Linked DNA regions of Cricetulus griseus. Each later gene encodes a partner of the first gene's protein in a complex. Links are inferred from orthologs where the notes say so. Each region holds a gene or a part of one and is shown on either strand. Other genes may lie near its edges. The genes, in order: Siah1, Cacybp and Axin1.

Region 1 (10,713 bases):
AGCACCAGTTGGGTGTCTTGTCATTCAGTTCTACATGCGCTCCCTCAAGTTTGACCTTACAGGTTAAGCTCTGGTCTAGAGGTTCGGATGTCATTCTTAGACTGTAATTTACACTTCTGACCAACAATATATTATGGATGGACATAAAGGGTTTACAGGACTACAATTTTTTTTTTTTTTTTTTTTTTTTTTTTTTGGTTTTCCCAGACAGGTTTTCTCTGTGGCTTTGGAGGCTTCATTTTTAAAACATGGTCGATTAAATCTCTGGCTTTTTGCAGTCAATCCCATCTTTAGCCAAGAAATTTCCTTTTTTAAAGGTCAAGTTTTTGAGTGATAGAGCTGTGTCCATGGCCACCAGCACTGTCCTCTAGCTAACTTGTAACCCCCAGCTATCAGCTATTCATTAGCATACAAAGATTTCGAGGATTTTGGCCCTTTCCTCTTCCTTCTCCAAAGTGCTGATTAGGGCTTGCATCCCTATCCTGGGCTAAGACTTCAGACCTCCCAAATTAGAATCTATGTTTTTTAAATAAGATCCCTAGATGGTTAGTAAACACAGTGAGTTTGAGAACTATTGCAGTCTAGGAATGAACTCTTTCTTTAATGAATACTTTTCAGATGCTGGGAAGTTTCATTTTTTAGTTGACTCACTCTTATTTTATATTTTATTTATTAACCATATTGCAGGATCTCTTTTACATAGTACTTATGGATTCTGAATAGGTATTCTTCTGAAGTGGAAGCCAATAGGGAATCTTGGAAAAAGCAGATGCTTCCCGGATTTGATTTGCTTTTCAAGTCACTGCCTAGGTTCCTCCCCCCCCCCCCCCAGGCATCCCTTGTCTTCAGGAACACCTCCTTTGAGAATGATCCGCAGCTTGGAGTGCTCCATTTTTGCTAGTCTGGCTGACCCTGGAGCTCCCAGGAATCCTCTTGTCTCTATTTCCCAGTGCTGGAATAACAAGTTCTCCCCACACTTGGCTTTTTATGTATGTGAGGATTTGAACTAGGTTTTCATGCTTGCAGAAGTGAGCTATCTCCAGCATGTTTTGTTTTAATTCAAATCCTAATAAAAGGGTAAATTCATAATTGGATAGTTATAATTTTATTAACATTTTTGTCACTTAGAATTTGAACTCAAGGTCTTGCATCTGGTAGTTAGGCATGAGGTTTACCATTGGAATGTATAAAGAAATAAAAAGGAAAAAGGAAGGACATGACTGCTTCTAGGTATGGTGGGGGAAAGGTTTATTGTAGATAAAAGGGAGAGCATAGCCAGAGACAGGATTATCTGGGAGAGTCCAGAGTGAACATGCCACTCAGCCAGGCCATGTGAGGAGAGGGGGAAAGGGAGGAGGAGAGCCAGGAGAGTAAAGAGTAGATGGTGTGTGTTGGGGTGGGAGTGGGGGTGTAACCAAAAAGGCTGGATTATATAAGGAAGCGCAGCTCAGCCCCTGAGCTGGAGAAATTTAGGGTAGGGGGTGGTGTGTGCCAGCCATACCCTGTAACAGGTAGGGACTGAGGGATGCAGGGAAAACCTGGCAGCCAGGTCCACTTTAATATGTTAAATAGGTACCTCAGCCATTTGTCCAAGAGTTTGAGACCTAACATCCCAGTGTTTTTGTTGATAATCAGTGATAAGGGGGGGATGAAGTCTTTTCTATGACTGCTTCCTGTTGACATTGGGGACCCAAGACAGCAGGAATGCTGGCCAAGACCTGGAAGAGCAGGGTTTTTCCCATGCTGTCCAGATTCTATGGGACCTTCTGGAGCTAGGGAAGTGCAGGCCACATTGGAGCAGTCTATGAGGCTGGACCAGCTGGGGCTAGCTACTTTGAAGTAATCTAGGCTGCAGAGGCTCAGGCTGGTTGGAAAGTCCATCTGAATGAAGCAGTTGGGGCTGTTGATTTTGGAGCAGTTTGCAGTACTTAGTTGATTGGAAATATGCTGGAACAGATAGAGATTAGGGATAGAAGGTAAAGTTAAAGGATCTTAGGGGACATATTTTTTAATAATTTATTTTTACTTTATGAGCATTGATTGGTGTATGCCTGCATGTATGTGTGGGCTGATGTGTCATATCCTCTGGATCTGGAGTTGTAAACTGCCATGTGGGTGCTGGGAATTGAACTTGTGTCCCCTGGAAGATCAGCTAATGTTCTTAACCACTGAGCCATCTCTCCAGCTCCTAGGGGTAAATTTTTAATCGAGAGTATACATTTGAAACTTTCAGACCCATGGTCTTGGTAGTTGGAGGGCTGGATTCCCAAGACCAAGGGGGTAGGAGGGGGTAGGAGGAGAGAGGGAGGAAGAAAGGAAAGGAAAGGAAAGGAAAAGGAGGGAGGGAGGGAGGGAGGGAGGAAGGAAGGAAGGAAGGAAGGAAGGAAGGAAGGAAGGAAGGAAGGAAGGAAGGAGATCCCAATCTCAGGAATAGGGCAGGTGGGGAAAATTTATGAGTACTTGAGTCTGGCCTGCAAGAGGTGATTCAAGTTGATTCCCTGAAGCCATTACCTAGATGGTTGCCCTAGGCTCCTGTGGGCTCTGTCTTCATTTGAGGCAGTGTTCAAATAGGACAGCATTTAATCTTTAGTTGCCACACAGAGCAGCCTTGGCCAGACCCAGGTCTGAGAGATGTTCCTGTGGAAAGGACTTGGGGGACTTGACCAGGCAGAGTATAGCAGTTAACCCACAAGTGTCCCTGGCAGCATCAAAATAAAGCTTTAAGCCATACATATAGTCCATAGGAAGACTGGGAACTTTTCTTTTATAGGGCACCATTATATCAATTTTTTGCATGACTCGGTTAATCCAGATAGCTAAAGCTTAAGAAAAGCTTAATAAAGTGAGCAGAGACAATGAAGCTAGATGGCTATTACTCTGACCCTGAGTAGACCTTAGGAATTTATAGACCTTATCAAATATACCTTATTTGTCAAACACATGTTGTTATCTTAGTTTTCTAGAAGCCTGGAGTTGAACAGTTAGCAAAGAGACATAAGTAGTTAGCTGTAAATCTCTAAGTCAGCTTTGTTCATCCAAGTAGACCTGTAATAACCTTAAAATTTTATCATCATAATCCATACCAATCCAAAATATTTTGGAGACCCCTGTTGTTGTTTCATTAGTCTAAAAGGGGAAACAGAGGGCTCAGTAGGACTAAAAAGAAGTATAGGTGTTGCCTTAATTGGCTTATTTTATATGGTCATCATAAGATGGTGGTTAAGTCCCTTGGCATATACCTTTTAACCCTAGTAAAGATGGCTGCCAGCCATGGAGCTGTTATTTAAAGGTTTATTTTTTTTGTAGATCACTTTTTATTTTTTATTCAAGAGTTGAATCCAACTGGGCCGTGATGGTGCACACCTTTACTCCCAGTACTCAGGAAGCAGAAGTCAAGGCTACACAGAGAACCCTGTCTTGAAAAAACAAACAAAAAAGAGTTGAATCTAAGTACATATGCAGTATGTTCTAAACAAGAGTTGAATCACATGTATAGTAACTTGTAGCAAATTATTAAGATTGCCTATGTGTAGATTTTAATTATAAGCCTTTTGTTATAAGTTTAAAGCCAAGTTTTGTTACAGATTTATAGATCATTTTTAACCATACCCAATGAACTTACAAATCCTGAGAGAATTTACAGCATAGTCTTAAGAGACTTTGATAGCAGAGCAAGGAGAAATTGTAGAGCTAAAGATTTTTAAGAGTAGGAAGTAGAAGTGTAGAGCAGAGCTAGTTTAGATAAGAGAGATTTGGGGATCATTTGTTTATGCTGTGACAGTTGTTACGATTTGTGAGGATTTGGAAATCAAGTGTGCCAATGTTTGGCCATTGGTACTGAGGCCAAGTTGTTTATAGTCCGGATGTTGAGAAATGAAACTCCACCCTCAGAGGACTTTTCTATAAACTCCCAAAAGTTGCTGAGTGAGAGTGTATAGAGGCCCAGGTGGGCTCAGGCTTAGAGAAGCTTCCGAGTTGCTGGGAGAGGCCTGGGAGGGCTTAAGGAAGAGACAGAGCAGGAAGCTGCAGAGGGTCAAGGAGACTTTAGGAGGGAGCTGAAAGAAAAAACTAGGTACTACAGCAGGACCTGAGAGAGTGGTGGCCTGCAGGATGGACTACAGGGCCTAGGGGGAGGGGAGAGAATGCAACTGAACTGAGGTGGATAAAGAGCCTTTGTGACAAGAATTTCCATCCAGGGTGTCCTCAAGGGGAATGGGAAACTTGTCAGGGAGAAAAGTGTTCCAAATCCCAGAGGAAAGGTGTCCTTCCCATGTGACTGGGGCCTAAATAGGGCGAGAGGAGCTTCCTGTCACCCTGGTGTGGCTTTTGTAGTAATAGTAGACAAAGGAGGCAGCTTGAGGTGACACTTACCCAGTAAAGAGAGATGGGCGAGCAGGGGAAAAGGGAGACGGTAAGTGTCCTTGGTAGAGATCCAGACAGATGTAGCCGGTGGAGCTGCGATGTGAGGCCAGTGTCCAGGTGGCTGGGTTCCTTGGGAGATGGAGAAGGCCCTAGGAGTCAGAGATACATTCATGGCATAGACAAGGACAGGCGTGGTTAGAGCATGTGGGCGTTGGGGGAGAAGTAGTGAGACAGCGGACTCTAGAATTTGGGGTCAAATTTGATAGATGACAGGAGTTATTGGAAACAAGTGATCTCTACAAACCTTAGGAGAGGCAAATCAGCAGCTTGATTCAGAGCAGCCCAGGTACTTGGAAGGGAGCTCATCTATGCCATTCCCGGCTGTGGGTACCGGATGAATGAAAAAAAAATGAAATTAAAAAGGAAGGATATGACTGCTCCTAGGTATGGTGGAGGGGAGGTTTATTATAGATAAAAGGGAGAGCATAGCCAGAGGCAGGGATATCTAGGAGAGTCCAGAGTGAACATGACCCTGAGCCAGGTCATGTTAGGAGAGAGGAAAGGGGGGGAGGAGAGCCAGGAGAGTACAGGATAGACAGTGAGGGTGTGCATGTAACCAAAAAGGCTGGATTATATAGGGAAGGGCAGCTCAGCCCCTGGGCTGGAGAAATGTAGGGTAGGAGGTGGGGTGTGCCAGCCATACCCTGTAACAGGTAGGGACTGAGGGATGCAGGGAAAACCTGGCAGCCAAGTCCAATTTGTATGTTAAATAAGCACCTCAGTTAACTACGTGTCTTCGGGGTTTAGACCTCACATCACTCATCTATAACCCTTAGCATTGTAACTTTATAATAAACATGTAATTTCTAAGAATTTTAGGGAAATTAAGGGGTGAGCAGTCTTGGTATTCTACCTTTTTATTTTCTTTAAATAAAGAGTGCAAGACTTAGAGAGATGGCTCAACAGATAAGAGCACTTGCTACTCTTTTGGATGTTTTTCAGTACCTAAATAATGGCTCATAACTGTCCAAACTCCAGTTCCAGGATATCCTATGCCCTCTACTGGCCTCTGCTGGCATCATGCATGCAGGTGGTGTATATATACACATGCAGGCAAAACACCCATGCACATTAACAAATGTATATGAGCTGGGGACATAGCTCAGTTGGTGGAGTGCTTGCTTAGTTTTTCCAAAGGTGTGGCACCACACAAAACTAGGTGTGGTGGTGAGCAGTCCCAGTACTCACTGGAAGTTGGTGAAAGCTGGATTATCAGAAGTTCAAAGTCATTTTCAGACTCTTAGAAATCAGTGGTAGTCTAGGATGATTGAGTGAGTCCTGCCTCCACAAACAAAAATTCTCCCAAAAGAACAACAACAAAATGTGGCTAAATGCCCTAAAAATGTTGTGACAAAATTAAAGGCATTAATACTATTTATTTCCTTTTAGATAATAGCTATTTAAACTTAATGCCAAAATAGGCTTGATGTGCAATTTAGAATGTGTAGTTTATATTTCTGTTCTTAAAGCTGTTTGTTGTAGTCTAGTATTAAACAGTTAGGTGGAAGTGATTGAATACAATAAAGGTGGGCAAGTGGTTGGAGTTGAAGTTGCAGAAGGTGTGTGAAACCCATTGTATTGGGGCACTCACTGCCAGTTTCTGGTTGTATTTGAAGATTGTCCTAAGTGTGATGTAATACCAGCTTAAGCTTTGAAGATTCAGCTGACACCATCCAGGTCTGAAGTGTATAGGACTTTATGGGCCAAGGGTAGTGCTTGTTTAAAAACAAGGCAAGCTACTCTAGTTTAATGAGGCCAGTTAAGAAAACTTTCCCAGAGTGGGATGAATATATAACCTCAATTTGGAGGTAGAAGTGGAGGTTTACATGCCCTGAGTGTGTTTACATTCTCACTGCACTGGAAGGGGGCATTTGAAATAGATTGGCACACAAGCGGCAGAGTTAGAATTGAGGAAAATAGTAGTTGAGGCCTGGAAATATTGAGTGAGTTGTGGGGGGGAATGTTTTTCTTGAGAATTCACAGGACAAAGCTGACATTAGGAGTGCTTGCCTGGTTGCGCATTTCCCTTCCTCCCTGTGTGTTTCTTACCCTAGAGACTTAGGAAAGCACTGAGATCCTGACCTCCGGAAACATGTTCTACGGGACTTAAGTGCTGCCAAGTGCACAGGCTTCATGTTGCCGTGGCGTCTGCCAGAGCTGTCCAGGTGGTCTGTGGGGCGGGGCTTGGAGCGAGGTCCGCCCCTTCTCGAGGCCCTGCCCCAGGGCCTGCCAGGTGGTGGAGCCTAAGCAGCAGGACGCCAGAGCTGCTGGCCATCTTCTGCTGACCACCCAGTTTAGAGTTCATGGGAGGTGTTGTCTCTCCTGGGGACAGGTCTTAAGACTGAATGGAAGTGAGCAGCCTTCTATGCTTAGGAGCCAAGGGCCTTGCAGGGTCCTCTGGTGCAGGCTGGCCTTGTGGCTTGCAGGAACCTGACGCCTCGATTCTTATGACCTGGAAGCCGCCCGAACCCCTTCTGCATTCCTGGAAGGGAGTCCTGCTCGCATGCTTGCCGACAGTTAGGACCAGGACCAGGAAGAGGAAAGGTACTGACGTAAACACATCTGTTTCCGAGACAGAAACTGGACTGCACGAATCCATAGATTCTGGTTTAGGCTTGGTGAAAGTCGGCATTGAGGGCTCAGTGGAGCTGTGGCAACTCCTGCTTAAATCTAGCTTTTCAGGTGTGTCCAGACTTCTGTGGACTTGTCCTTGGTTTCTACCTTGCAGCTGCTTGTGGATGAGAGGCTTTGTGGCTCAAGATGGAGCCACACTCCATCCTTCTAACTAGGGAATGGTGTAGCAGTTATCTGTGCTGTCATACTTCCAACCACATTTTGTTTATCATGCTGGGTAGAATATCAGTGTGCTTTCTCTAGTGTTTGGAAGGCAATAAAAATACGATGTAACATGAACCCAAACTTACACTGATAAGTGTTAGAGGTGTTTTGCCAGGTCAAAGCACTGGGCTAGTGTTTTTCTTCTGAACTTGGCTATATTGTGTTTAAATATAAACTGAGCTCTTTGATGTGACCGGAACTGTTTGTTTCGAGAAATCACTTTCCAAAATCTGTGTTCTTTTAAGTGAGCCACAGTTAACATGGTGAAGCAGATGGGAAACCCATGGCTTTGGTAATGCCAAGGCCATTGACCTAAAGTGGATAAATCAGCTGCATAAAGAATTTGATCAGGTGGAAAGTAGAATACAGAGGGGCCATTTTATTATGACACCTGGATCACAGGGCTTCAGATGATGAGAGCTAATTCATGTTGTATTCCTCCATGAGTCTGAGCTGTTGTGGTGGAGTTTTGTCATACTGTATGTGTTGGAGATGAAACCAAGGGATATAGGCAAGCTAAACATTTGTTAGTACTGTTTTGCCCTTTGAACTTGCTAGTATTGCTTTAGTAACAAAAGAAAAAAAATTAAACCTCCAGTGCTGCTCTTAGCCCCCTTATTTACAATGTTACTGTCTACTAAAATTCCATTTGTATTGACTTGGTTACATTTGTAACTTCAGTTTTTTTGAAACTTAAAGGTCTTTGCAACAGAGTGATTATAACTGGGAGAATTACTATATTATTTAGTGTGGTCTCAGGGAGTGCACTATTAGGACATTGATCTTTTGTCAACGTCTGAGATAAATTGCACCCTGCCAAATTCCCCAGAGGCAGAGTCCTGGGGAAAGGAGCTTATTGTGCTTGACTGTCACTGGCTGGTCCTTCCTCCAGATGACTCTGAAATCAGTGTGTATAGTTGGTGTTTGCTGCAGCCACACAGGGAACCCAAGGGTGCAGGGGAGTTCTTTGCTTATTGAGTCTGCCCCTCTCCCCATCCTGTGTTTGTGTCTGTGTGATGCTTTTACCCTTACTTCCTCCTATTGTTTCCTGACTTTCCCTTCCCTTTGCATGTTACATGAGATTTGTGCTGCAGAATGGAAGTAGAATAAGGACTTTCTTCTTTTTTTATAAGTAAAGTTTTTTTAGAATACAACCGTGTCCATTTTAAAAAGGTAGAATAAGGACTTCCTTAAATACAATAACTTACTGAACGATGGTTTTCCACTTCTTCCTGTTGCTTCAGCCTGGAGGTGGGTACTGATTGACAGGAGACAAAATGATGTCTCGCTGATTTGAAAGAAGACCCAGTAGGTAGGTAGCTGCAGGTGGATAGTGGGATGCCAACTCTTCCTTTCCCTGGGCCCTCCGAGCCCCATTCCCAGAACACAGCTCTCCAGAAGATGCTGCTCCCTGCTGGAAAGAATCAGTCTGGCTCTGATATCCTTTGGCATATGGACTACATAGGACTCGGGCTGTAGGTCCTGAAGCTGTGAGAGTTAACTCAGACTTGAGAAGTAGACAGAGGTGGGAACTCTGGGGAGAAAAAGTCCAGCCCAAATAGGTCTTATGTTGTATTTAAGGTCTTCTTTAAAAAAAAATATTTTCATTTTATGTGTATGGGTGTTTTGCCTGCATGTGTCTGTGCACCACATGTATGTAGTTCCCTGGAGGCCTCTCTTGAACCTGCATTTGGGTACTAGGATTTGAACCCTGGTCCTCTCAGCAGTGTTCTTAACTGCTGGACCATCTCTCCAGCCTTACATTTTTTTTTTTTTTTTTTTTTTTTATAGGACTTCTCTGTGTAGCCCTGGTTGTCTGGGAACTTGCTTTATAGACCAGACTGACCTCAAACTCAGAAATCTAACTCCTTCTGCCTCCTGAGTGTTGGGCTTAAAGGCATGGCTATATTTACATTCTTTTTGTTTGTTTTTTGAGACAGGGTTTCTCTGTAGCTTTGGAGGCTGTCCTGGAACTTGAGCTGTAGACCAGGCTGGCCTTGAACTCACAGAGATCCACCTGCCTGTGCCTCCTAAGTGCTGGGATTAAAGGCGTGCGCCAACACTGCCTGGTTGCACTTCTTATTTATGTAGCCCACCTGGAGGTTTTCATAACTTTTTTTAAACAGGAAGGTATTTTAAGCATGCTATACAACATTTTGAAATATGGTTTACTCATTATGTAAATAAAATTCACCTTTAGCATGTTAATTTTTATTTTATTTGTATATAGTTTTAAAACCATATTTATTTAACTTTATTCTTCTGCTCATGACAAGTATTTATGACATGTGTACATTATCTATAAATGTGTTATAGTTATAACTTTCTCCTGCCTCCTTTTATTTTCTTGTTTTTCATTACAGAAATGAGCCGTCAGACTGCTACAGCATTACCCACTGGCACCTCAAAGTGTCCGCCGTCCCAGAGGGTACCTGCCCTGACTGGCACAACTGCATCCAACAATGACTTGGCGAGTCTTTTTGAGTGTCCTGTCTGCTTTGACTATGTGTTGCCACCCATTCTTCAGTGTCAGAGTGGCCATCTTGTTTGTAGCAACTGTCGCCCCAAACTCACATGTTGTCCGACCTGCCGGGGCCCATTGGGATCCATTCGCAACTTGGCTATGGAGAAAGTGGCCAATTCAGTACTTTTCCCTTGTAAATATGCCTCTTCTGGATGTGAAATAACTCTGCCGCACACAGAAAAGGCAGAGCACGAGGAGCTCTGTGAGTTCAGGCCTTACTCCTGCCCCTGCCCTGGTGCTTCCTGTAAGTGGCAAGGCTCCTTGGATGCTGTTATGCCCCACCTGATGCATCAGCACAAGTCCATTACAACCCTGCAGGGAGAAGACATAGTTTTCCTTGCTACAGACATTAACCTTCCTGGTGCTGTTGACTGGGTGATGATGCAGTCCTGTTTTGGCTTTCATTTCATGTTAGTCTTGGAGAAACAGGAAAAATACGATGGTCACCAGCAGTTCTTCGCAATTGTACAGCTGATAGGAACACGCAAGCAAGCTGAAAATTTTGCTTATCGACTTGAGCTAAATGGTCATAGGCGGCGATTGACTTGGGAAGCGACTCCTCGTTCTATTCACGAGGGAATTGCAACAGCCATTATGAATAGTGACTGCCTAGTGTTTGACACCAGCATTGCACAGCTTTTTGCAGAAAATGGCAATTTAGGCATCAATGTAACTATTTCCATGTGTTGAAACCGAAATCAAATATTTCTGGCCAGTGTTTAAAATTTGCATTTGACTTCACAGAGAATAAGGCACCCATCTGCTTGCCAACCTAAAACTCCTGGTAGGTAGAAGCTAGACACATGAAGGTAAATAAAAAGAAAGGCTGTTAATACAGGAAACAGTTGCATGTAGTAACACTAATATATTTAAAAATAATTCAACGTAAACCACTGAAAAAAATATATATACCTAAGATGGGCATCTTT
Region 2 (10,263 bases), on another chromosome or scaffold:
CGGGGGTGTGTCGGGAGCCCACATGCCTGCGCGGGGCCCCGCCGTGTGCCCGAGGGCCTCCCGGGGACCGGGACCTCCGTTAAAGCCCATTGCAAAAGCTGGTAGCTCCAGGTGGAGGGCAATTGGAAGGCATTCCTGTGCCTACACGGCTAGCCAAGATAGTTTCTTGGGCACCGCACTCTTTCCGTGGGGTGGTTCTACGTCCTGTGTGTTATTTCTGAACGCCCAGGGCTGCACTTACGACTCACTTTGGTCCTTTAGCGGCGCCAGCGGCGGACCTGCAGGCCTTGCCCATGCTAGGCAAGCGCTCCACCGTTGCGTTACATCCCCAATCTTTATGTAATAAGTGCATTAAGAAATAATTGGAAATTTAGTTGTAGGTAATGATAGGGGATTGCATGGCGTCTCTTTATAGGTCTGTAAATTATGAACGTGGGTGACTTGACGTTTTTGGAACCTCAAGCTCTAAAACTCGGCCACAAAATAGGAAATGGTAATCGATCGACTTATGGCCTATGTAGACTTTATGTGATTGATATACGCGTGGGCTATCTGTTAAAATTTCCTTTTCGAAAAATTTCCCCTCACTTTAAAAAGCAAGACATCCGCTTTTAAAGGCAGAAAGATTATTAAGTTATGGTAAAGTATTAATCTTGCCACAAGTAAGTAGCCTTGAGCACATGTGCTCACATGGAGAGTCTGGGGCTACTTAACAGTTGTGCACACATGTAGTTCAGTAGTAAACATTCTCCGAAGGAAGGAACTTTAACTTTATAATTGGGGGGTATGCATTTAGGGGCACATTTTTCTTTTGTGAAATTCACCTTCTTCCATCATTGTTATTTAGTTGCAGAATATTTTCATTTCCTCAAAAAGAAATCCATTGAGTATTGGCTCTGATAAGGCAACAGCTGGGCTGGTACCCTCCATGTTTCTATTTCACCCGTGGTATATCAATACACCATTCCTTTTTAATGGCTGAATAAAACTCCATTGTACATACAGAATGCACATTCATCTGTTGGCATATGGTCGTTTCTCCATTTTGATGATTTTGAATCTTTGTAAACAAGTTTTGTTGTTTTGGGGGCATGTTATTAGTCCATGTAGTTGCTAGATAATAAGGCACGTCCTGGGAAACTACCATTGTCACAAGAATTGCATAAAAGATAGTATTTCTTCATATACTATAACATTTTGTTGTTTTCTTGGGTGTTTGTTGTTCGCATGATACCATCTAAGTGAGTGTGTGGTACCACTTTATGGATTTGTTGTGTGTTTCTCTGGATGTGATACATCTGTTTGTGTATGTGTACCTGGTACACAATCCCATGTCTTTGGGGGGGGTGTCGACGACGACGACGACGTGGGTTCTTTCCCTATTTTGAGCAATTTTTGTTTGCAGGGATAGGTTTCACTAAATAGTCCTGGCTTGGAACTTTCTGTAGTAGTCAGACTCATAGAGATCCACCTGCCTCTGCCTCCAGAGTGGTAGGACTACAGGCATATGCTACCAGGCCAGGCCAGACACATTGGTTTTGAGGCCCCTAGTGCACAACGAGGAGATAGATTCAAAGGAACATACATGTTTACATACAGGAAACAAATGCATGCCAAGAAGGCAAGAAAAATTATGAGATAAAATAGATAGAAACTGCTTTATCTGTTCTTGGTCACCTTAAAGTTTGGATGCACTATGTTGGTTTCAGGGCTGCAAATACAAAAGCCAAGCAATGACTCTTCTGTTGACACCTTACTAAAGAGTGCAGAGTACTTTAGAGCTAAAATTGGCCATAAAGAGGGCCTGGGAATTCTGCCATGAGTCAGCTAGAAAAAGGGTTCCTTTTCCAGGCAAAAGCAAAACCTCTAACTTAGATTTGATAGGTTTCCTTTCTCTTTGTTAAGTAAATTCCTATTGGAGGAATAAGTACTTGCTTTACTTTTAATATTTTTATTATATTGATACTAGAATCCACATGAATTTTGAAGCCACTGAAGGATTTGGAATGAAACACCTTGATTCTATGTTCAAAAGATGAGTGTGCAGTTTTGGATTTTAGAATCAGTATTTCTTGATTGTGGACAGGAGCATCCCTGTTGTGTTTTTTATAAACTGTTGTAAGTAAATACAACAAATGAGATCATAAAGGCCATGTAGTAATAGCGATTATAAAACAAAGGCTAACTCCTTTTTACTTCAAATGCTACCTGATAGCTGGCATTTAAAAGATTTTTAAAAATTATTTTATTCCCCCCCTCCAAGCCTCCCATTTGCTCCCCTTGAGTTTCATGGTCTCTCTTTTCATTAGTTGTTACAAATCTGCTCAGGTCTGTCTTCTTCCCTGGGGAAGACTTTCTCATGCTGTTAGCCTTTTTCGTTTGCCTGTAGTTCTTTGGGCAGGGTTGAGATATCACGGGCTTACCTTGTTCACTTTAGCTTGCCTGTTTTCCTTGCTCACAGTTAGGCAGTTGCACTGATGAGATTTTGGGGCAGGTGGTGAGGGGTGGCTTCTGATATTTCTAGGAGACAGTCTCACAGTAATCTCTGATCCTCTTTCTATTCTAGCCCTCACCTCTTCCACATTTAACCCTGAGCCTTACATAATGCCTTAGGTTAGGGAGTTATGTTGTAGATATATCCATTGAGACTGGACTCCTAGTTTTTGATTGTGGTTTTCTGTTATGGACTCTTCAGTTGTAAAAGGGTCATTTAAAGACTTAACATTAAGCCTTTTATTTAGTATGAAGGTGTAAAGTAAGATTGCTGTTTTTGTGATCAGGTTACCTAGTATGAAGGCAAAAAAAATTTTTTTTACACTTTTTTTATTAATTTATTTTAACATTCCAATCCTGGTTCCCCCTCCCTCCTCTCCTCCCGTCCCTCCCCCACCCCCTTCCTCCCATTTGATACACAGAGAGGGGAAGTCATCTTGTTGAGGTGGGCCCAAGGTACCTCTCCACCCCCACATCCCTGTGTCTAGGCTGGGCAAGGTATCTCTCCATATAGAATGGTCTCCACTAAGATAGTTTGTACATTAGTGTTAGATCTTGGACCCACTGCCAGTGGCCTCATATATTGTCCCAGTCACACCATTGTCACCTATATTAAGAGAGTCAGGCTAGTTCGGTCTTAGGTTCTCCATTTGTCAGACCCAAGTCAGTGCTCTCTCACTAGCTTGGGTCAGCTGATTCTGTGGGTTTCCCTATCATGGTCTTGACTCCTTTGTTCATACATCGCTCCTCTCTCACTTTGATTGTACTCCAGGAGCTTGGCCTATTGGTTAGTTTTGGATTTCTTCATCTGTTTCCATCTGTTTTTGAAGAGGGTTTGAGCTTCTCTGGGGTATGTTTTGTAGGCTGGGTGTCTTTTGCTTTATGTTTGGTATCCACTTATGAGTGAGTCTTTCTGGTTACTCACTCAGGATGTTTTTTTCTAGTTCTGTCCATTTGTCTGTGAATTTTAGGATGTCATTGTTTCTAAGTAGAACTCCATTGTGTAAATTACCACATTTTCTTTATCCATTCTTCAGTAGAGGTGCATCTAGGCTGTTTCCAAGATCAGGCTATTACAAATAATGTTGTTATGAACATAGTTGAACAAATGTCCTTGTGGTGCGAATGTGCCTCCTTTGGGTATATGCCCAAAAGTAGTATTGCAGGGTCTTGAGGTAGGTTGATCCCTGAGTTTCTGAGAAATTGCCATACTGATTTCCACAGCTGCTGTATAAGTTTGCACTCCCACCAGCATAAGCTGTCATTGGTGTTTTTGATCTTGGCCATTCAAGGCAGAAAGCATTTACTCACAATTAACATCAGAGCATGATTGGAGAAATATTTTTGTCTATCTGCCTGTATACGTAATAGCACATGTATGTAGGTGCCCGTGGTGGGCATCAGACACCCGGAGGTGGAATTACAAAAATTTGTGAGCTTCTGGTGTGAGTGCTGGGAACTGAACAGCTAGTTTTTGGAAGAACAGCATGGGCTCTTAGCCACTGAGCTATCTCTCCAGACCCTGCCCATTGATTGTCTTTAATGAAGTTCCACAACATCATAAATGTCTGTCTAGAAACTAGAAGACTTACCTGTTGTATTGGCATGACAAGAAAACAGACTTGTAAAGACCAATTTCCAAGAGTCATAAGGGATTAGATATCCAAAGTTTCCTTTCTTGGTCTCAGATTCTAACCAAAAGATCAACCCAACTGCTGAACAAGACTTTTTCTTAGGAGCAGAATATTTTTACATTTATTTACTACGACATATGTGGAGATAAGGTCTTGATGGTATTGATTCTCCTTCCACCTGGATCCTGGGAATTGAACTCTGCATCAGGCTTGGCAGGGAGCACCTTCACCCACTGAGCCATCTTGCTATTTTATTTTTTATCTTTAATTTAAAAAATTCAAATTCTGAGATAGGAAAATTGATCACTGAAAGTGCAGCCTTTGTTACCTCAGTAAAGTTGCCTTCGCCCTTCCCAGTCAGATGGATTCTCATCTCTTTGACTATAATTAAAGTTTTCTAATATTTGATGTCTAGCTAGGTGTTACAAGGACATCTATAAAAAATTTTCCCCCTACTTTTCTAAAACACAGACAGGTAACAGCCTACCAAACTGGAAAATAAAGACAATTATTGATTTAAGATTGTTTTCCTTTAATAAGAAGGAAATGTGGGTTGTTTACAATTCAGGGAACAAGAAGAAATAATTATGTTTGAAACCTAAAAATTAAAATGAACTTAACTTTTCATTTTATTTCAGTAAGTTGAATTGGATGGTAGGCCTTATTTATCCTAACCTACTTCTATCTTAACACAGTTGCAGAAGGACCTAGAAGAGGTCAAAGTGTTGCTGGAAAAGTCCACTAGGAAAAGAGTTCGTGATACTCTTACAAGTGAAAAATCCAAGATTGAGATAGAAATAAAGAACAAGATGCAGCAGAAATCACAGAAGAAATCAGAACTTGACAATGAAAAGCCAGCTGCTGTGGTTGCTCCTCTTACGACAGGATACACTGTGAAAATCAGTAATTATGGTATGCCCCGTTCCACTATATCTAGTATTCTGCCAAGCAGAAAGAACTACTTCATAATGTATTCATAGATTTTTGTGTGAAGTTTGTGCTCTTTATTTTTAATGTTGACATTTGGCGTGGGTTAGATTACCAAAGTGGCATTAGATAGTGTACTTACTGGGAGGCCAAATTAACAGATTTACGGTGAAAAATTAGGATCTTTTATCTATTTATACTTGTTTGAGTTTTGCTTGTTTTGTGTTTGTGAGATAGTTGCTTGTAGTCCATGCTGGCCTTGAACTGTGGAGATCCTTCTGCCTTCCCTCCTGAGTGCTAGGGTCACAGATGTGAGCCACCAGGCTCATTCTGTTTTATTTGGAGGCCAGGCATCGTGGTATGTTGTCTAGACTGTTTCAAGAGATCCTCCCATTTGTGCCTCCCAAGTAGCTATGTCTTGAAAGGGCTGTGGTTACATTTTTTTTTTTTTTTTAGACTGCTTTGAGAAGTAGAAATAGTTACTGAATTAAACAGTATTGATGTTAAACTGTTGAATTGATGATGACTTTGAACTCCTGATTCTCCTGTTTCCATCTCACAAGTACTGGGGTTATAAATGTGTACCCCCCATGGCAAGATCTATCAAGCTTTAGATGGAGGGCAAATTTTTTTCTTTTTTCCTTTTTTAAGATTTGTTTATTATGTATACAATGTCCTGCCTGCCTGTATGCATGCAGGCCAGAAAAGGGTGCCATATCTAATTACAGATGGTTGTGAGCCACCATGTGGTTGCTGAGAATTGAACTCAGAACCTCTAGAAAAGCAGCCACTGCTCTTAACCTCTGAGCGATCTCTCCAGCCCCGAAGGGCAAAATTTTTTTAAAAAAACAAGAAGCCAGTCTTCTCGTATTTGGGCATAGTGACACAGAATTTAATCATAGTTATGGTAGGAAGGCTATGGTAGGAAGATTGCAAGTTTGATGCCAACTTTGGCAGTTTAGATCTTTCTCAAAATAAAAATGAAAAATTTTAGCTGGAGAGAAACTGGTAGAGGTCTTGCTGGTATTCATAAGAAAGATGAAATGCATTTAATGACCCTAGCTTTGCATTTAGAAACTGAATCTTACTGTACATTCTCCCACTTGTTGGATGCTTATTCTCAGGAATAGTACTGTTTTCAGAAGTTCGGTTTTGAGACATAGCTTCTCCATATTGAGAATTTTTAATGATTCCTTTTTATTTTTTATGTGCATTAGCGTTTTGCTTGCATGTATGTCTGTGTGAGGGTGTCAGATCCCCTGGAACTGGAGTTATAGTTGCCATCTCTCTGTCCCATATCTTGAGAATTTTTAATTTATTTGTGTGTGTGTGTCTGTTTCTGGAGTAACAGTAAAACTGTTACCGAGTTTTATTTTCTGAATTTTATTTACGGGTATGGGTGTTTGTTTGCATGTATGTCTGTGCGTCACCTGCATGCCTCAGAGTCTAAAAGAGGGTTTCTGATACCCTAGGACTAGACTTGCAGATGCTATGAACTGCCATGTCGGTGCTGGGCCTTGAACTCTGGTTCTTTGGGGAGAACAGCCAGTGCTTTTAACTGCTGAGTTTTATATTAAGCCATGTTCTATGGATAGTTTCAGATGTGTCTGTTCATCTTTTTTGTTTTGCTAGGATGGGATCAATCAGATAAGTTTGTGAAAATCTACATTACCTTAACTGGAGTTCATCAGGTTCCCACTGAAAATGTGCAGGTACACTTCACTGAGAGGTGCGTTCTTGTTACTGGAAGTACAGCTATCATTGCCTTATTTTTATCATAGGAATCTTGTCTTCTGTATGGCTTCCAAAATTCTGCTGAACAACCAAGTCTACATACTAACCCAGTTGTTCTCAATATGGGTCGAAAACCCTTGGGAAGGTCAAGTGACCCTTTCACAGGGGTTGTATATCAGATATCCCACATAGCATATATTTTCATTGTAATTCTTTTTTTGGGGGGGGTTCGAGACAGGGTTGCTCTGTAGCTTTGAAGGCTGTCCTGGAATTCACTCTGTAGACCAGGCTGGCCTCGAACTCACAGAGATCCTCCTGCCTCTGCCTCCGAGTGCTACGATTAAAGGTGTGCACCACCAATGCCCAGCTTTTCATTGCGATTCTTAACAGTAGCACAAGTACAGTAATGAAGTAGCAATGAAAATACTTTTATGGTTGGGGGTCACCACAACATGAGGAATTGTATTAAGGGAGAAGGTTGAGAACTACTGCCCTAAGTCAAAGCTGTTGACTTGTCTCAAGAACCATAGAGTGACTGTCATAGAACCAGAAAGATAATGCATTCCCTGTTGTGTTTGTAGGTCATTTGATCTTTTGGTAAAAAATCTCAATGGCAAGAATTACTCCATGATTGTGAACAATCTTTTGAAACCCATCTCTGTGGAAAGCAGTTCAAAAAAAGTGAGTATTGTGAGAGAGAGAGAGAGTGTGTGTGTGCGCGCGCGCGTGTGTGTGTGTGTGTGTGTGTGTGTGTGTGTGTGTGTGTGTGTGTGTGTGTGTTGTGCGCGCACACGCGTGAAAATATTGTAAAACTTTATTAAATTGAATCTGGCTGATTTAGGGCAGAGATGAACTATAAGTTTTCAGCTGTATCTAGCTCCAGTACAGTACAGTCCACAGGCTGATCTGTAAGTAGTTCATTACTGGAATAACCATTCTTACGTTCTTTTGGTGTCTGCTTCTCCTACGGTGGCAAAATAGATCATTTAGCCCATGAAATGAAAAATAAATAATTTACTGTTTGGCCCTTTGAAGGAAGTTTGCCAATTCATTGTAGAATATATTAAAAGTAAGGAGAAATGTTTTCAGTGAGTAAGAGTTTTAATGCCAGCTTTATCCCTTAGTAGTTGTGACCCCTGGTGGTTCTTTGTACAGTGGTAATTTCATAAAGTAGGAATGATATACTGGTAAATAAATAGGAAGCACTAACATAAATAGTATACTATTAGCTGTGTTATATGTAAATTTCTGATGCATATAAGGATCTCTTAAGTACTTAATTGCTGAAGTTGTAAAAAATAAGGAAGTTTTCATTAAAAAATCAGTTGCTTATGCTTTTTACAAACTTACACAACCCTTTTTTCAGTTTAAAAAGTGATGTTTAATATATCAAATGTATAGACATGTAATTCTTCCATGTTATGTATTTGCTTAAAAGTAGTAATAAATGCCATGTGTTAAGTATCCAGTTCTCCCTGCAGTAGCCTATTTGTTATGTCTCATAGTCAGAGGAATAATCAAAGCATCTAGGAGTTACACATTGTTGAGTTAAAAAGTTGTTTACCTTCCTTGCTCTCCTTTCAGACCCCTCTAGTTTTCCTTAAATCACTGAGATTTAGTCCTTTCAATACACTATAACTGTTTCACCTAGGAGCTATTCATTTTTGTTTTGTTTTTGTTTGTTTTGGTTTTCGAGACAGGGTTTCTCTGTAGCTTTGGCGCCTGTCCTGGAATTCACTCAGTAGACCAGGCTGGCCTCAGAATCAGAGATTCACCTGTCTTTGCCTCCCAAGTGTTGGGATTAAAGGTGTGCACCACCACCACCCGACAAGATAATTCTTTTTGCTATGCTAGCTGTCTGTGGTGTTCTCCTTTCAGGTCTTAGGTTTCACTTGGTTCACATTTTGTCCCAGTGAAGTCCTTCTAAAGTTTTTTCCACACTTCCCATTAATATTCTCTTTTAAGTCTTTGTGTATGTACATACACCATGATGCATATGTGGAGATCAGAAGACAGTCTCATGTCAGTCCTCACCTTCTACCCTGTTAGGGACAGAGTCTTATTGGTTCACCACTATATGTACCAGGCTACCTGGCCTACAAGCTTCTTGGATTTCCTGTCTCCCATCTTGCCATAGGAGTGCTGGGACTACAGTTGTGTATGACCATGCCTGGCTTTTTTTTTTTTTACTTGGGTTGTAGATACCTGATCAGGTCCTTGTGTTTGCATTGAAATGCTGTCCTATTTAAGTTGTTGTGATAAAATACCAAGGCCAAAAGTAACATGTCCAGATCATAGTCAGTCATGAAGGGAACTCAAGGCAGGAACAAAGCAGAGGCCATGAAGGAAAGACCATGAAGTAAGAATACCGGCTTGTTCTTTGGGGCTTGCTCAGCTTTATTCTTAGGCAACCCAAGACTACCTGCCCAGGGATTATATAGTCCCTGCCAATCAATCAAGAAAATGCCCTACAGACTTGCCAGCAGGCAATCTGATGGAGGTACTTTCTCACTTTAGGGTCCTTTTTCTAGATACTCTAGCTTGTGTCAGTTAACACAAAATCAACCAGAACACATGCACATGAGTTTACCTACAACCAAGGTAGGTTCAGCCCAAGGGTCTCTTCAAATAGGTCTCTGGTAGCCCAGACAGTACTCCATTCCACTAAGAAGCTAAAAGTGACTTTGAACTCTTGGTAATCCTGCCTCTACAAAGTTCTGAGGTTACAGGTGTGTGCCACAATGCCTTGTTTTATGTGATAATAGGAATCAGACCAGGGCCTCATGAATTCTGAGCAAGCCTCTACCAGCTGAACCATGTCCCCAACCCTATGTTCAGATCTTGATGGCATTAGCATCAAAGGTATTCCACTTGTTTGTATAAAAGTATTACTAGCATCAAGAATGAGTATTAACATACTAGGCACTTGATTGGTAACAGCATTTCTTAAAATACTCATGCTTATTTCTATGTTACAAGCTCCTACTCCTCTCCTTTTCTTCCAGGTCAAGACTGATACAGTTATCATCTTATGTAGAAAGAAAGCAGAAAACACACGATGGGACTACTTAACTCAGGTGGAAAAAGAATGCAAAGAGAAAGAGTAAGTTTAATAATTTTACTACTTTTATCTGGGGTTATGGTTTCACTTCATGGCTAATAGTTGTACAAGCAAAGTGTTTATCTCCTGATGTCTTATATCTGCTTTCAACTATCAGAAGCTTTGTTTTTTGAGATATGGTCTCTCTGGTATGTAGTTTGGCTGTCTTTGAACTTGCTAGGCTGGCCTTGAACTAACAGATCCACCTGCCTCTGCCTCCTGAGTTCTGGGATTAAAGGTGTGTGCAACTACACCCAGCCTGTCAGAGCCTATTTGAGGATGGCAAGGGCCAGTTTAAGACAATTGTTGTATAGCTTGTTCTTTAGCATTATTTCATCCCTGGGCATCTTGGTGTGTCTCTAGATACTGTGGCCT
Region 3 (11,038 bases), on another chromosome or scaffold:
TGGGGGCCAAGCTAGGCACAGGAGAGGCCTTGTTCCCAATACATCCTCCGGAAGGCAGTCCTGTCTAGACCTAGTCTCTATTTCTGGTCCTCAACCTTTTATTTGAATCCCATTCCTTCCCCCAAATCTACCTCAAGGAGCCCGTAGGCTGGAAAGGCATCCTGGGTCATGGGAAATGCTGGGTGTGAGGATGGGCTATATCTGGGTGTATAACTACTGCAACCAGGTTCTGCTGCCCATAGGCCATGAGCTCTCAGCTGGCCTGGTAAATGCATCCTGGGGGTTGAAAGCTGCTGTCGATGTGATTGGTAGGTTGTTAGGTAAACTCTGAGAAGCAAATCTTTTAATCCACTGTGGCTAATCCAGTGCACTTTTGTTTGCCAAGACAGATTCTGCAGCAACAAAGGGGCTGGAGGGACCCCAGCATACATAATCACATACTTAGAACTTGGCCGCGGCTGCCCACAGGGTTCCTAGGCAGCAGAGAGAGACATCTCAGGACAGCAGTGTAGAGGGTGGGTGGTTGAAGGAGGGGCCTAAGTGGGCTGAAGGTATGGGTCACTAGCCTCCCTAGGTGATACCTTTTCACCTGTCAGGATGGCCCCAGCCACCTGCTGGGTGTGTGGCTGTCAGTCACTGGCATTGTGTAAGTGTGTGGGGGCAACTGAGCTGAGACAGAAGAAAAACCAATACCCAATACAGGGTGCAAGAGTGCCTGGGACACAGATTTGTGAAGATATGATGGGAAGCTGGGAAGGATGACACATGACATCGGGGGAAGGAACAGAAGGAGGAAGGTGATAGGGGGCAGCAGGACGCCAGGTGTGTCCAGTATAGGAAGAGGAAGTGGCCTGAGGCTGTGTGGGGAAGTATGAACGAACACCTGCAGAGTATCTTCAGGGCCTGGCACACTCACAAGGGAACCCTACCTATTCTGGGAAAATGGTGCTGAGGTTAGGGAGCACCACGCCCGTTCCTCTAAGATGTATACTAGGTCATAGCAATGGACTTTCTCCTGCTGCCTAGTTTTGTCCATGCAGGGTTGTGCATGGAACACTGAGGGGTCCTCACTTTGTCAAGGACATTCTACTCAGACACAGCAGGTACTCAAGTCTCCAGAATGGGCTGGTGTCATTCTCTTATGTTCCTGAAGTTCCCTAGCTGGGGGAGGTGTTGGGCTTGGTAGCAGGCTGCCTTCCCCTACTGGGTCCTAGGGCTGAGATATCAAAAGATAACTTAGATTTTTAACCTCCATGCCTACATTCTGACCCTGATCTACTTGCCTGTTACCTCGGTGTCTACATTCCCCTTTCTCCCAGTTGCTCCCAGACAAGTCCTGAGGGCTAGAGCCCTTCAGAACAGCAGTGTGGATGATTCCTCTCACGACAGTAGGGAGTCAGATCCCAGTAAGAAGGTGTGGATAGTATTCTGGAAGGGTTTACTCCTTGGGGTCCACTTACATGGTGAGCTGGCCCAGCACCATACCCATGCCTACTTTCCTGTGTACTGGCTCTTGACTCCTGGAGGCTACCAGGGTCTTCTGGATGGAGGAGGACATGGCTGTGAGTACCTCTGGAGTCTAACCCAGGGGATAAGCATGGTACCACCTGACTGGGCCTGGAACATGTAATAACACAGAGTATAATAACATTTACCACAGTATCCATCTCTGAAGAGACCATCCATGCTGGAAGGCAGAGTGATTCTTTCTCTACTCCTTTGGGGATGGGTGCTCCTTACCTGGGAGGGGAAGGCAGATACTGAGCTGAAACAGCATTCTGAAGCAGGAGCCATCAGAACCCTCCATTGCAATTGTGGCTGGCATATAACCCATTATTTAGAAGCGTCAACAGTGGTTAACACTGAAGCCATACCTAACCATATCATTTAGGACAGTTGTGCTCTTGTTGGGCAAAATACAAACAACAAAAAAGTAAGGCAACATGCCAGCTCAGAATATACATCACCAGGAATGATGCAAGAGGAAGAACATGGGGCCAGCAAAGTGTGGCTCAGCAGGTAAAGGAGCTTGCTGCTGAGACTGATGGCCTGAGTTCAATTCCCAGGACCCACATGTTGAAGACGAGGACCAAGTTCCAGAAATTGTACTTTGACTTCTACATATGGGCCCGGACCATCTCCCCCCCACCCCCTTGGATTTTTGAGACAGGGTTTCTCTGTAGCTTTGAACCCTATCCTAGCACTTGCTCTGTAGACCAGGCTGGCCTTGAACTCACAGAGATCCACCTGCCTCTGCCTCCCAAGTGCTGGGATTAAAGGCATGTACTACCAATGCTCCGTGGGCCCTGACTATCTTATGCCCATACACATTATAAACAAACAAACAAATAAATAAATATGTCAAGGATCATGCCAGGGCTAAGGTGGCTTCTGATACAAAGTTAGGGCACCCTGAGGCACTAGACTGGAGTGAGCACAGGAACACACAGCTAACGCTGCCCATGAGCAGTTGGGTCCTCCAGAGGCTCACTTGACTTCATGTTGTTCATGTGACTTATTGATGTCAACTGGAAGGTGGCAGCCACTGCAGAGTTGTTGAGGCTTCCAAGTAATTATAATGGTAATGTTATTATACCACGTTCATGAAGAATAAAGAATAAAGTAAAACATACTGAGCATACTGGCACCTTCACTCCTGTATTTCTAACACTTGGAAAGCTTGGGCAGGAAGATCCCAAGTTTAAGGCTAGCCTGAGCTATACAGTGAGTCTCTGTTTTGGAGTGGGTGTGAGAGGAACCCTTTGATAGTTCTGTATGAGCCCTCTTTGACAGGTTCTTATTCTTCTTGCCTTAGTGGATACATGCTTTGTGACACAAAAATTAGCATCTTGTGTTTGTGGCATTGTGGCTTTTCTCCTCACTGTTGTGTCTCAAACTCCTTGTCCTCCATTAGGACAGTGAGTCCAGTCTTCCCTGGACACCGCACCTCCACTCCCAGTCCCTCAACCCCAATTGTAGAAATGGTGGAAAAAGAAGATGTGTGGGATGAGGCAGAGGCTGGGATTGGGTTTATGGCAGAAAAGCAGCTGGCCAACGAGAAGAGAACTGGGACATCCAAGTCCTCTGAGCCAGCATTCTGAGCCACTTTGGGTATAGATGGCTGCCTTATCCCAAAACTGTAAATGAGCCATTTAAGACTACAAATCTTCACTCTCTGCTGGGAACTCAGATGCCACCAACCATCATTTCTGTAGTTGACCTTCTGCTGTGGGTTTTCTTGCCATGTATCACTGGGCCAGAACCTCTGCAACACACATGGCAGGTGGTGCTAGATGACTTTATCAGTTTTCAAGAAGGGTCGTCCTCAGTCATAGGGACAAATAAAGGCTTCAACAAACGTATTTTAAAGTATTTCTATGTCTACATTGAAGAAAATAATTTCTGCTCATGAGTTTGTTTTAAACCTTCTTTCATTCCTGGGACCAAAGGCCTGAAAAATGCCATGGAAGTTGTTAAAGCTGTTAGTGGCAATTCTGGGTGGGGCAAAGGGCATTGCATTTGTATTTTAAGGCCCCTGTGTACCTGTCTCTCAGAAGCAAGGTTTCCAAGTGCTGTCCTCTTTCTCCTCCTCACTGTAGGAATTTCCTCAAGGTCTCCATAATTTAGCCCTTGTTGGAGTTCCCTCCTCTGGTTTATCCTCCCCAATTTCTACCCCTTATTTGGAATTCTTCCCCCATGGACACCCCACAGCCCACCTTAGCAGGCTGTTGCTTTCCTCCAGGCTTCCTGATTCCCTTCCTGTCCCTGCAGGGCAGGGGCCAAGAGGAGCTGGAGGCCCGAGGGTCCTATTCTGGTCCCAGGGCTTGGGGATACCCACCACCGTGGGCTAGCAGGAGGATGGACGTGGACTTGATCCCAAGAGCCTGGCCTGGCCGCAGCAGCAGCTCTACAGAATCAAGGCAAGCGCTGGGGCCCCGGTTTGGGAGTGGGGAGGCACTCCGATGTCAAGGCTATCTATGCTCAATCAGTGGCCATAATTGTTTCTTCTAATGATATGAGGCTGAATGGTCTGGGACAGGGGCTTCGAGGGCGTCTTCAGTGCCCAGGGACCCTAGGCCCTGGGACTGTTTTAGTTGGGCATGTGTGCACATGAAACCTGCTGCTGGGATTTGAATGGGGCTATGTTGGCTTAGCAGTACAGCATTGTCTATAGCCCAGCCCCTGCCCCGAGGTTCAGTAATGAGTCTAGGAGAGGAATTTGGCAGGCTAGTCACCCTAATTACTAGCTATTGTTGAAGTGGTCCCTTCTCTATACATAGCAACCCTGAGCACCAGCACTATGCTATGTCCTCCCAGAGGCAGGTGGCAGGTGTAGGATCACTTCAGGCAGCTGGGGGAAAGATGGTCTGTGGGTTCAGAAGTCCTAAGCAAATACACTGCTTTTGCCTGGGAGCCATGAAGGATAAAGGGCCAGGCAGCGAGGGTGAACAATGTCCAGGAGAAAGCATGGTAGTAGCATTAGGAACAGCATCATACATATTGAAGAATGTAGATGGCAACTGAAGATACAGCCATGATAGGGTGCTATGGGGTGACAACAGAAGGAGAGGTTCTGATGGATGTGGGTACCAGGAGTCCTTGGGCCAGGGTGTATGCTGAGCCTAAGTTGCAACCTCTTGTCGGCAAAGTGTACTGGCTACCTGAGAGGTGTCAGGGGCTGTGCTGCGGAGTCCTGATCAGCATGGTAGATGATATTCACAAGAGCAGTAATTCCTTGTGTTCACATCCTTCTCCTTGGGCAATGGCTGACAGAAGGTTGAGGCCTGATCAATGCCTTTCAATTGTGATGGTTCTGACAGGGTATTACCCCAGAGCAGGTGTAGGGGCTGCTGCCAAATGGAGATCTATGTGCCTGGTGCTGTTTGTGTCCTGAAGCCTGTGGTGAGGCAACATGGAGTTGGCTTGTTGAGCTTGCAGACTCAGGTCTGTAACCTCAGCAAGAGAAGCAAGCCTTTGGAGACAGTAGGTCTCGTTCGTTCGTGTGTGTGTGTGTGTGTGTGTGTGTGTGTGTGTGTTTGGAGACAGTAGGTCTCGTTCGTGTGTGTGTGTGTGTGTGTGTGTGTGTGTGTGTGTGTGTGTGTGTGGCGTCTGGATACCCAGAAGCACTCTCAGGATAGTGCCTACCACCAGGTGTGTCAGTCCAGACTTGGGCGCTCTGTCCTTGGTGCACTGGCTCAGGGGCTTGGTGGTGGCAGTAGCTGTTGAACGCGCCCAGGGCTAAGTTTCCCATGCCACCTTTCGGGACCTACTGAAGTCGCCGCTCCATTGGGCGTCCTCCCCGACTAAGTCCCAGGAGCGCTACTAACCCACGCCACGCCTCCACCTCGGCAAGACTTTGCCTGGCTCCGGTTTCCGACTCTGACCACGGCCGCAGCCCCGCCTCCTGCTCAAAATCCTGCCATTACTCTTCTTGTCCTCTGCCTCCCACCCCGTCCCATGTTAGAAGCCCCGCCCCACACCGCGACCCTGCCTCCACAAGAGGCCCCGCCCACAAGCCTCCCCGCCCCACACCGCGGCCCCGCCCCCGCACTTCCGGGCGGCGCCGGCGGGGGCGCTCGGGCCTGGGCTTCAGCGCTCTGGGCTTAGGCTCCCGGCTCAGGGAAGCGCTTGCGGCCGTTGCGGCCGCCGCCGCTGCCGCCGCAGGAGCCCGCTGGGGTCGGGCTGGAGCCTCCGTCCAGAGGCTGGTGAGAGTGAGCAGCGGGTCGGCGGCGGCCCGCGACTCCTCCGGGCCACGGGTCGCCTAGCCGCCGCCGTAGCCGCGATGGGGGTCCCCAGGGCCGCGCCCCCGCCGTGGCCCGCCCGCCGAGCCGCCGCTGAGCGCATGGGCCTCGCCGGGCCGGGAGTCAGGCCCCGGGCCGCGCCTCCACAGCCGCCGCGCGCTGGTGAGTAGTGGGAGCCGGCGGGCGCGCTCCTGTGGCGCGGAGGCCTGATGCCCGGGACTGCGGGAGTAGGCCGCGCTAGGCCGGCGGACCCGGACCCGGAAGAGAGGGGCGCGCGGGTTGCGGGCGGGAGGCGTGTCGGAGCGCGGCCCGCGATGTGCGCGGTTGTGCACTGCGCGGGGAGACCAGAGCTCCTAGGGGAAACTGAGCAGGAGAGGTGCGGGCTCCGCAGTACGTGTAGAGGCATGGGGGCTGCGTGGTATGCTAGGTATATGGAGTGAAGGACTTTAGAGGCCAGGCAAGGGGTGATAGTAGCGCATGGGGAAGGTAAAGGCCTATGTGAAAGGACAAGGGAGTAAGGAAGACCAAGGATTTCTAGGAATGATCTTCGGTTGGATGTATGTTTGCTGAGTGTGGTGTGCTTGCGGTTGTTCACGGTCTGCGACACACTCAGGATGTGGGTGCTGAGGAGGTGTTGGTGCCAGACTGTGTGTGTCCTCTGAGCTGTGTGTGTGTGTGTGTGTGTGTGTGTGTGTGTGTGTCCTTCCTTTGCCTCATCCCCCAACCCCTGTGAAAAAGTTAAGGAAAGTAGGGATGAGTGAGAGCAAGAAGGGCACTCTGGCGATGCTGTGGTTCGTTCGGCTTGCCAAAACCACCACCGAGTTGACCAGGTGTTCATTTCATGCCTTACTTACCCCCCCCCGAAAGAAAAACAACCAAAATCCCCCAAAACCAAAACCCAGAGCTGCACACTTTTAGTTAGTCATGAAGACAATAAGAGGGAAAAAAGAATCCACCAGCCTCAGATTTTTCTCAACTCATCTCCAGGATAACTTAAGAAGGGTTCTCATTACGTGTGTACTCCTCCCTTTTACTCTCAGACTGATGGAGAACATCAGGGCAGTACTAGCTGTTTTCAGTTTTAGAACTTAGCTTCAAGATGAGAAAGTGTACAAAGCATAGGGATTTTGTTTGATTTTTTTCAGCAGGTGTTGACTTGTCCTATATCTTTCCGAGAAACAAAGTAGAGTTATATTGGCTGTTAAGACTTTATGTGATGGGGGACTGGAATAGATAGGAAATTATAGCCCTGACCTTTCAAGATTTTAATCAAGAGATAGTTGGTAAAATGCTAGTCATGTTATTACTTCTACATTCAATCGAACTCATAAGTTTGGAAGTTATGCTTGAGTATAATATATGCACACATATCCAGGGCTGTGTGTTTTGACAGTGTCAAAGGGGATTTTAAATATGATATCATACTTGTATATTACCTTTATGGAGTCACTTTATAGGTGGTAGTTACAGATTTGAGGCCAGATTTGGTGCTATGGGCATTGGACTCTTATTGAATTTTCATAACTGCTTTATGTGTGGTATTTCTGTATGTGCCTTAAGTGCTAGGTGTCCTCTGTGGGAGTCCAGGGATTATTGGAAATTGCGATGTTTCAGCGTTAGTAATTTGTGGGAATGTTCATGTACTTCTAGGAATAGGTGGCCAGGGGTGCAGGCCCTTTTTCCTGTGGTGATATCCTAGATAAGAGCATGGTAGACATGATGGGCTGGTGTGGTGCTTCAAACATCTAAGGTGCTTACTGCATGGAAACAGAGCCCCCAGAAAGTGACTGAGGTTAAAGAGAGGTGTGGGGAGGTCTATGAGCAGTTGAGACCTCAGTCATAGGGGCTGTGTGACCTTAAGAAACAGGCTGGTCCTGCTGAGGCTGAGATTATAACCTACCTAAGAAGTCATTAGCTGCAGAAATATCATAATTGTGACCCACCTTTTATTTGTACATGCCTCTTCCTTCTAGCCATTAGTAATCTAGCCATCAGCATTATTAGCAGGTAAAGTGTATATTGTGTGAGATGAGCACAGGATGGATTTCATGGAAGCCAGGGCTCAGCACTGTGGAGTGGTGACGAGGGAGAGCCACTCCCTTATTTTTTGTTATAGATGTACATTGTGCTGTTTTTTTTGTTTTTGTTTTTGTTTTTTGTTTTTGTTTTTCAGGAGGGTTTCTCTGTATTGGTTTGGAGGCTGTCCTGGAACTCACTTTGTAGACAAGGCTGGCCTCGAACTCACAGAGATCCACCTGCCTCTGCCTCAGAGTGCTGGGATTAAAGGTGTGCGCCACCAAAGCCCGGGCTGTGCTGTTTTGTTTTGTGACAGGGTCTCTTGTAGCCCAGACTGATCTCCAACTCTTATGTAGCCAAGAATAACCTTGAATTCCTGATCTCCCGCCTTTGCCTCTGTTCAAAGGTGTACACTACCACTCAGTTTCATGCATTATCTGGGACCTGGTGATGGAACTCTGGCCTTAAGCTTGCTAAGGCAACATTCTACCATCTGAGCTGCATCCCTAGCCCTTGACCTTGAACTCTTGATCAAGGTCTTGACTCTTCACCTTGCCAAGTCACAGGATTACAGATGTGTGCCAGTACACTGGCTTTATTTATATTGAGACAGGTTCTCATTTTGCAGCCCAGGCGAGTGTTGACTCAGGATGATCCTTCTGCTTCAGCCTTTTGAATGCTGGGATTACAGGCATGAACCGCCATGCTTGGCTTTTGTATTAAGGATCTGTTTTGTACCTTCTGGCTTGTTTAGTGTTCCAGACATCCAATCCTGCCATAAGCCTCTTTCCAGCTCACTTTTAGTGGGTCCATTTGGGACAAGGCATGCTGTGTTATCTCCCCCTTTGAATAGGTTGAGAGGCATTGCTGGAGCTCAGGGGCTCTCTAGGCTCTCATGGGATGTAGTAGAAAGGACCAAAGATCATAGTAGAGGTTCCTATCCAAATATGAACAGGTTTGCTTCCTTTTGAACACTGTACACAGCAGCAAAAACTATTTCCCTAATCTCTAAGAGTGTAGGTGGTATGGTTTTCATCTGGTGGAGCTAAACCATATTTCCTGTATGCTTCTTTAGCTAAAAAGCTAAAGTATTTGTAATTCATTTTTCCCTATACCTTTTTTGCCTAAGTTTCTAGTTACCATTTGCTATCAGAAGGGACTCTTCTTCTAAGAGAAATTGGCAGCCAAGTAAGTATAGCTTTCTGCATCTCTGAGGTTGTTTATGTTGATGCACAGATGCCTCTACATATGGACTGTGTCCTTCCATCACTTTTCATCATGTGGAAGGTGGCACATGAACAGTTGATCTCTTAGCTGTTGAGAGCTGGAAGCACATCTTGCTATGTGGTTGCTTATATTATGAGGCATATCAAGTATGAAAAGTGATAGAGCAGACAGGTTAGTACAGAGACTGTTAAACTTGGAATGTGCCTATCCACCTTAGGATCTGTAGTGTGCCTCTTTGTTTCTGAGTGTCACTTGGGCAAGTGATATGGTTGTCTTTATGTGTGAGGGACCATCTAGGTCACTGATGCTAGCAAATGGCTACAGAGGCACCTTCCCTTCTTTAGCTTTCCTGTCCACCAGACAGTCATTTCTTTAGTGTCAGGATGGGTGATCTTCAGGCCTCATCACTGAAAACATCCCCTGAAAGAGAGATGCCCTCCAAGATCTAGTCTTTCACTTAGTAGGAGAGACATACATTCTTTTTTTTTTTTTTTTTTTTTTTTTTTTTTTTTTTGAGACAGGGTTTCTCTGTGGCTTTGGAGGCTGTCCTGGAACTGGCTCTTTTAGACCAGGCTGGTCTGAGAGACATTCTTGTAAAAGTTTCCAGAAATTGTCTTAATGATAGAACAAAACTTCTGGCCCAGATATGTCTCTGCTGGAAGTCTGCAATGAGTCTCTGCTCCAAGTGGGAGTGGGGGGGCATCACTGCACATCTCAAGAGAACCTCTGGTGTTTCCATGGACCACCTTTCCTAATCCTTGTCCTCTTAATGGTTTCAACAGGACAGATTGATTCCCTTGGGAGCTGTAAGTACTGAGGTATTAGGGTGCAGCGCTCATTGTTCACTGACGCAGAGTCCCAAAATGAATGTCCAGGAGCAGGGTTTCCCCTTGGACCTCGGAACAAGTTTCACCGAAGATGCCCCCCGGCCCCCAGTGCCTGGAGAAGAGGGAGAACTGGTATCTACTGATTCAAGGCCTGTTAACCACAGTTTCTGCTCTGGGAAAGGTGCCAGCACTAAAAGTGAGACCTCAACAGCTACCCCAAGACGTTCAGATCTGGATCTGGGATATGAGCCTGAGGGCAGTGCCTCCCCCACCCCACCATACTTGAGGTGGGCTGAGTCACTGCATTCCTTATTGGATGACCAAGATGGGATCAGCCTGTTCAGGACTTTCCTGAAGCAGGAGGGCTGTGCTGACCTCCTGGACTTCTGGTTTGCCTGCAGTGGCTTCAGGAAGCTTGAGCCTTGTGACTCAAATGAGGAGAAGAGGCTGAAGCTGGCAAGAGCCATCTATCGAAAGTATATCCTGGATAGCAATGGCATTGTGTCCAGACAAACCAAGCCAGCCACTAAGAGCTTCATAAAGGACTGTGTCATGAAGCAGCAGATCGATCCTGCCATGTTTGACCAGGCACAGACAGAAATCCAGTCCACCATGGAGGAGAATACCTACCCTTCTTTCCTTAAGTCTGACATTTATTTGGAATACACAAGGACAGGCTCAGAGAGTCCGAAGGTTTGCAGTGACCAGAGCTCAGGGTCTGGGACAGGGAAAGGCATGTCTGGATACCTGCCTACTTTGAATGAAGATGAAGAATGGAAATGTGACCAAGATGCAGATGAAGATGATGGCCGAGACTCTGTCCCCCCCAGCAGGCTCACCCAGAAGCTGCTATTGGAGACTGCTGCCCCGAGGGCCCCCTCAAGTAGACGGTACAGCGAAGGCAGAGAGCTCAGGTGAGTTCGGCACAAGGTGTCCATTTTCTATACACACCTTGGAGAACTGGCAAAGGAGCAAGGGAAAGATGGTAACAGGTGGCCTTGTGTTCAATCCCAGCTGAAATCTCTACTGCTGCTCTTGTTGAATTACGTGTGGTTCTATTTCCTACTTAGATGTCTTCATGCTTGTCATTATACCTTTTTATATTTGCAGAGTTGAGAATGCATCGAACAAGACTTAGATGTAATCCCACCTACTTGGGAAACTGAGGACGGAGGATCAAAAATTGTTTGTCAGTCTGGGCAACTTGTAGAGATTCAAAATGAAAAG

The links.
Region 2: the proteins of Siah1 (region 1) and Cacybp are in contact, whole or in part, in a crystal structure (PDB 2A25), measured with the Homo sapiens proteins. The link is inferred for Cricetulus griseus from reciprocal best matches to the Homo sapiens genes SIAH1 and CACYBP. Residues at the interface, in NP_003022.3 of Homo sapiens: Leu158, Gln159, Asp162, Ile163, Val164, Phe165, Leu166, Ala167, Thr168, Val176, Asp177, Trp178, Val179, Met180, Asn276; in NP_055227.1 of Homo sapiens: Lys59, Pro60, Ala61, Ala62, Val63, Val64, Ala65, Pro66, Ile67.
Region 3: the proteins of Siah1 (region 1) and Axin1 are in contact, whole or in part, in a crystal structure (PDB 5WZZ), measured with the Homo sapiens proteins. The link is inferred for Cricetulus griseus from reciprocal best matches to the Homo sapiens genes SIAH1 and AXIN1. Residues at the interface, in NP_003022.3 of Homo sapiens: Cys130, Pro131, Ser154, Thr156, Leu158, Asp162, Ile163, Val164, Phe165, Leu166, Ala167, Thr168, Asp169, Val176, Asp177, Trp178, Val179, Met180, Asn272; in NP_003493.1 of Homo sapiens: Pro378, Lys379, Glu380, Val381, Arg382, Val383, Glu384, Pro385, Gln386, Lys387.

What each region holds. Positions count from the first base shown.
Region 1 is NC_048596.1:162,341,638-162,352,350, reverse strand, and holds the start of Siah1 (E3 ubiquitin-protein ligase SIAH1), read left to right. Parts: upstream 1-5,559; 5' UTR 5,560-6,767; coding exon 6,768-6,966; intron 6,967-9,623; coding exon 9,624-10,474; 3' UTR 10,475-10,713. UniProt on the Homo sapiens protein: E3 ubiquitin-protein ligase that mediates ubiquitination and subsequent proteasomal degradation of target proteins.
Region 2 is NC_048598.1:31,829,849-31,840,111, forward strand, and holds part of Cacybp (calcyclin-binding protein), read left to right. Parts: intron 1-4,822; coding exon 4,823-5,039; intron 5,040-6,686; coding exon 6,687-6,783; intron 6,784-7,369; coding exon 7,370-7,469; intron 7,470-9,793; coding exon 9,794-9,891; intron 9,892-10,263. UniProt on the Homo sapiens protein: May be involved in calcium-dependent ubiquitination and subsequent proteasomal degradation of target proteins. Probably serves as a molecular bridge in ubiquitin E3 complexes. Participates in the ubiquitin-mediated degradation of beta-catenin (CTNNB1).
Region 3 is NC_048600.1:45,764,328-45,775,365, forward strand, and holds the start of Axin1 (axin-1), read left to right. Parts: upstream 1-5,738; 5' UTR 5,739-5,903; intron 5,904-9,766; 5' UTR 9,767-9,847; coding exon 9,848-10,725; intron 10,726-11,038. UniProt on the Homo sapiens protein: Component of the beta-catenin destruction complex required for regulating CTNNB1 levels through phosphorylation and ubiquitination, and modulating Wnt-signaling.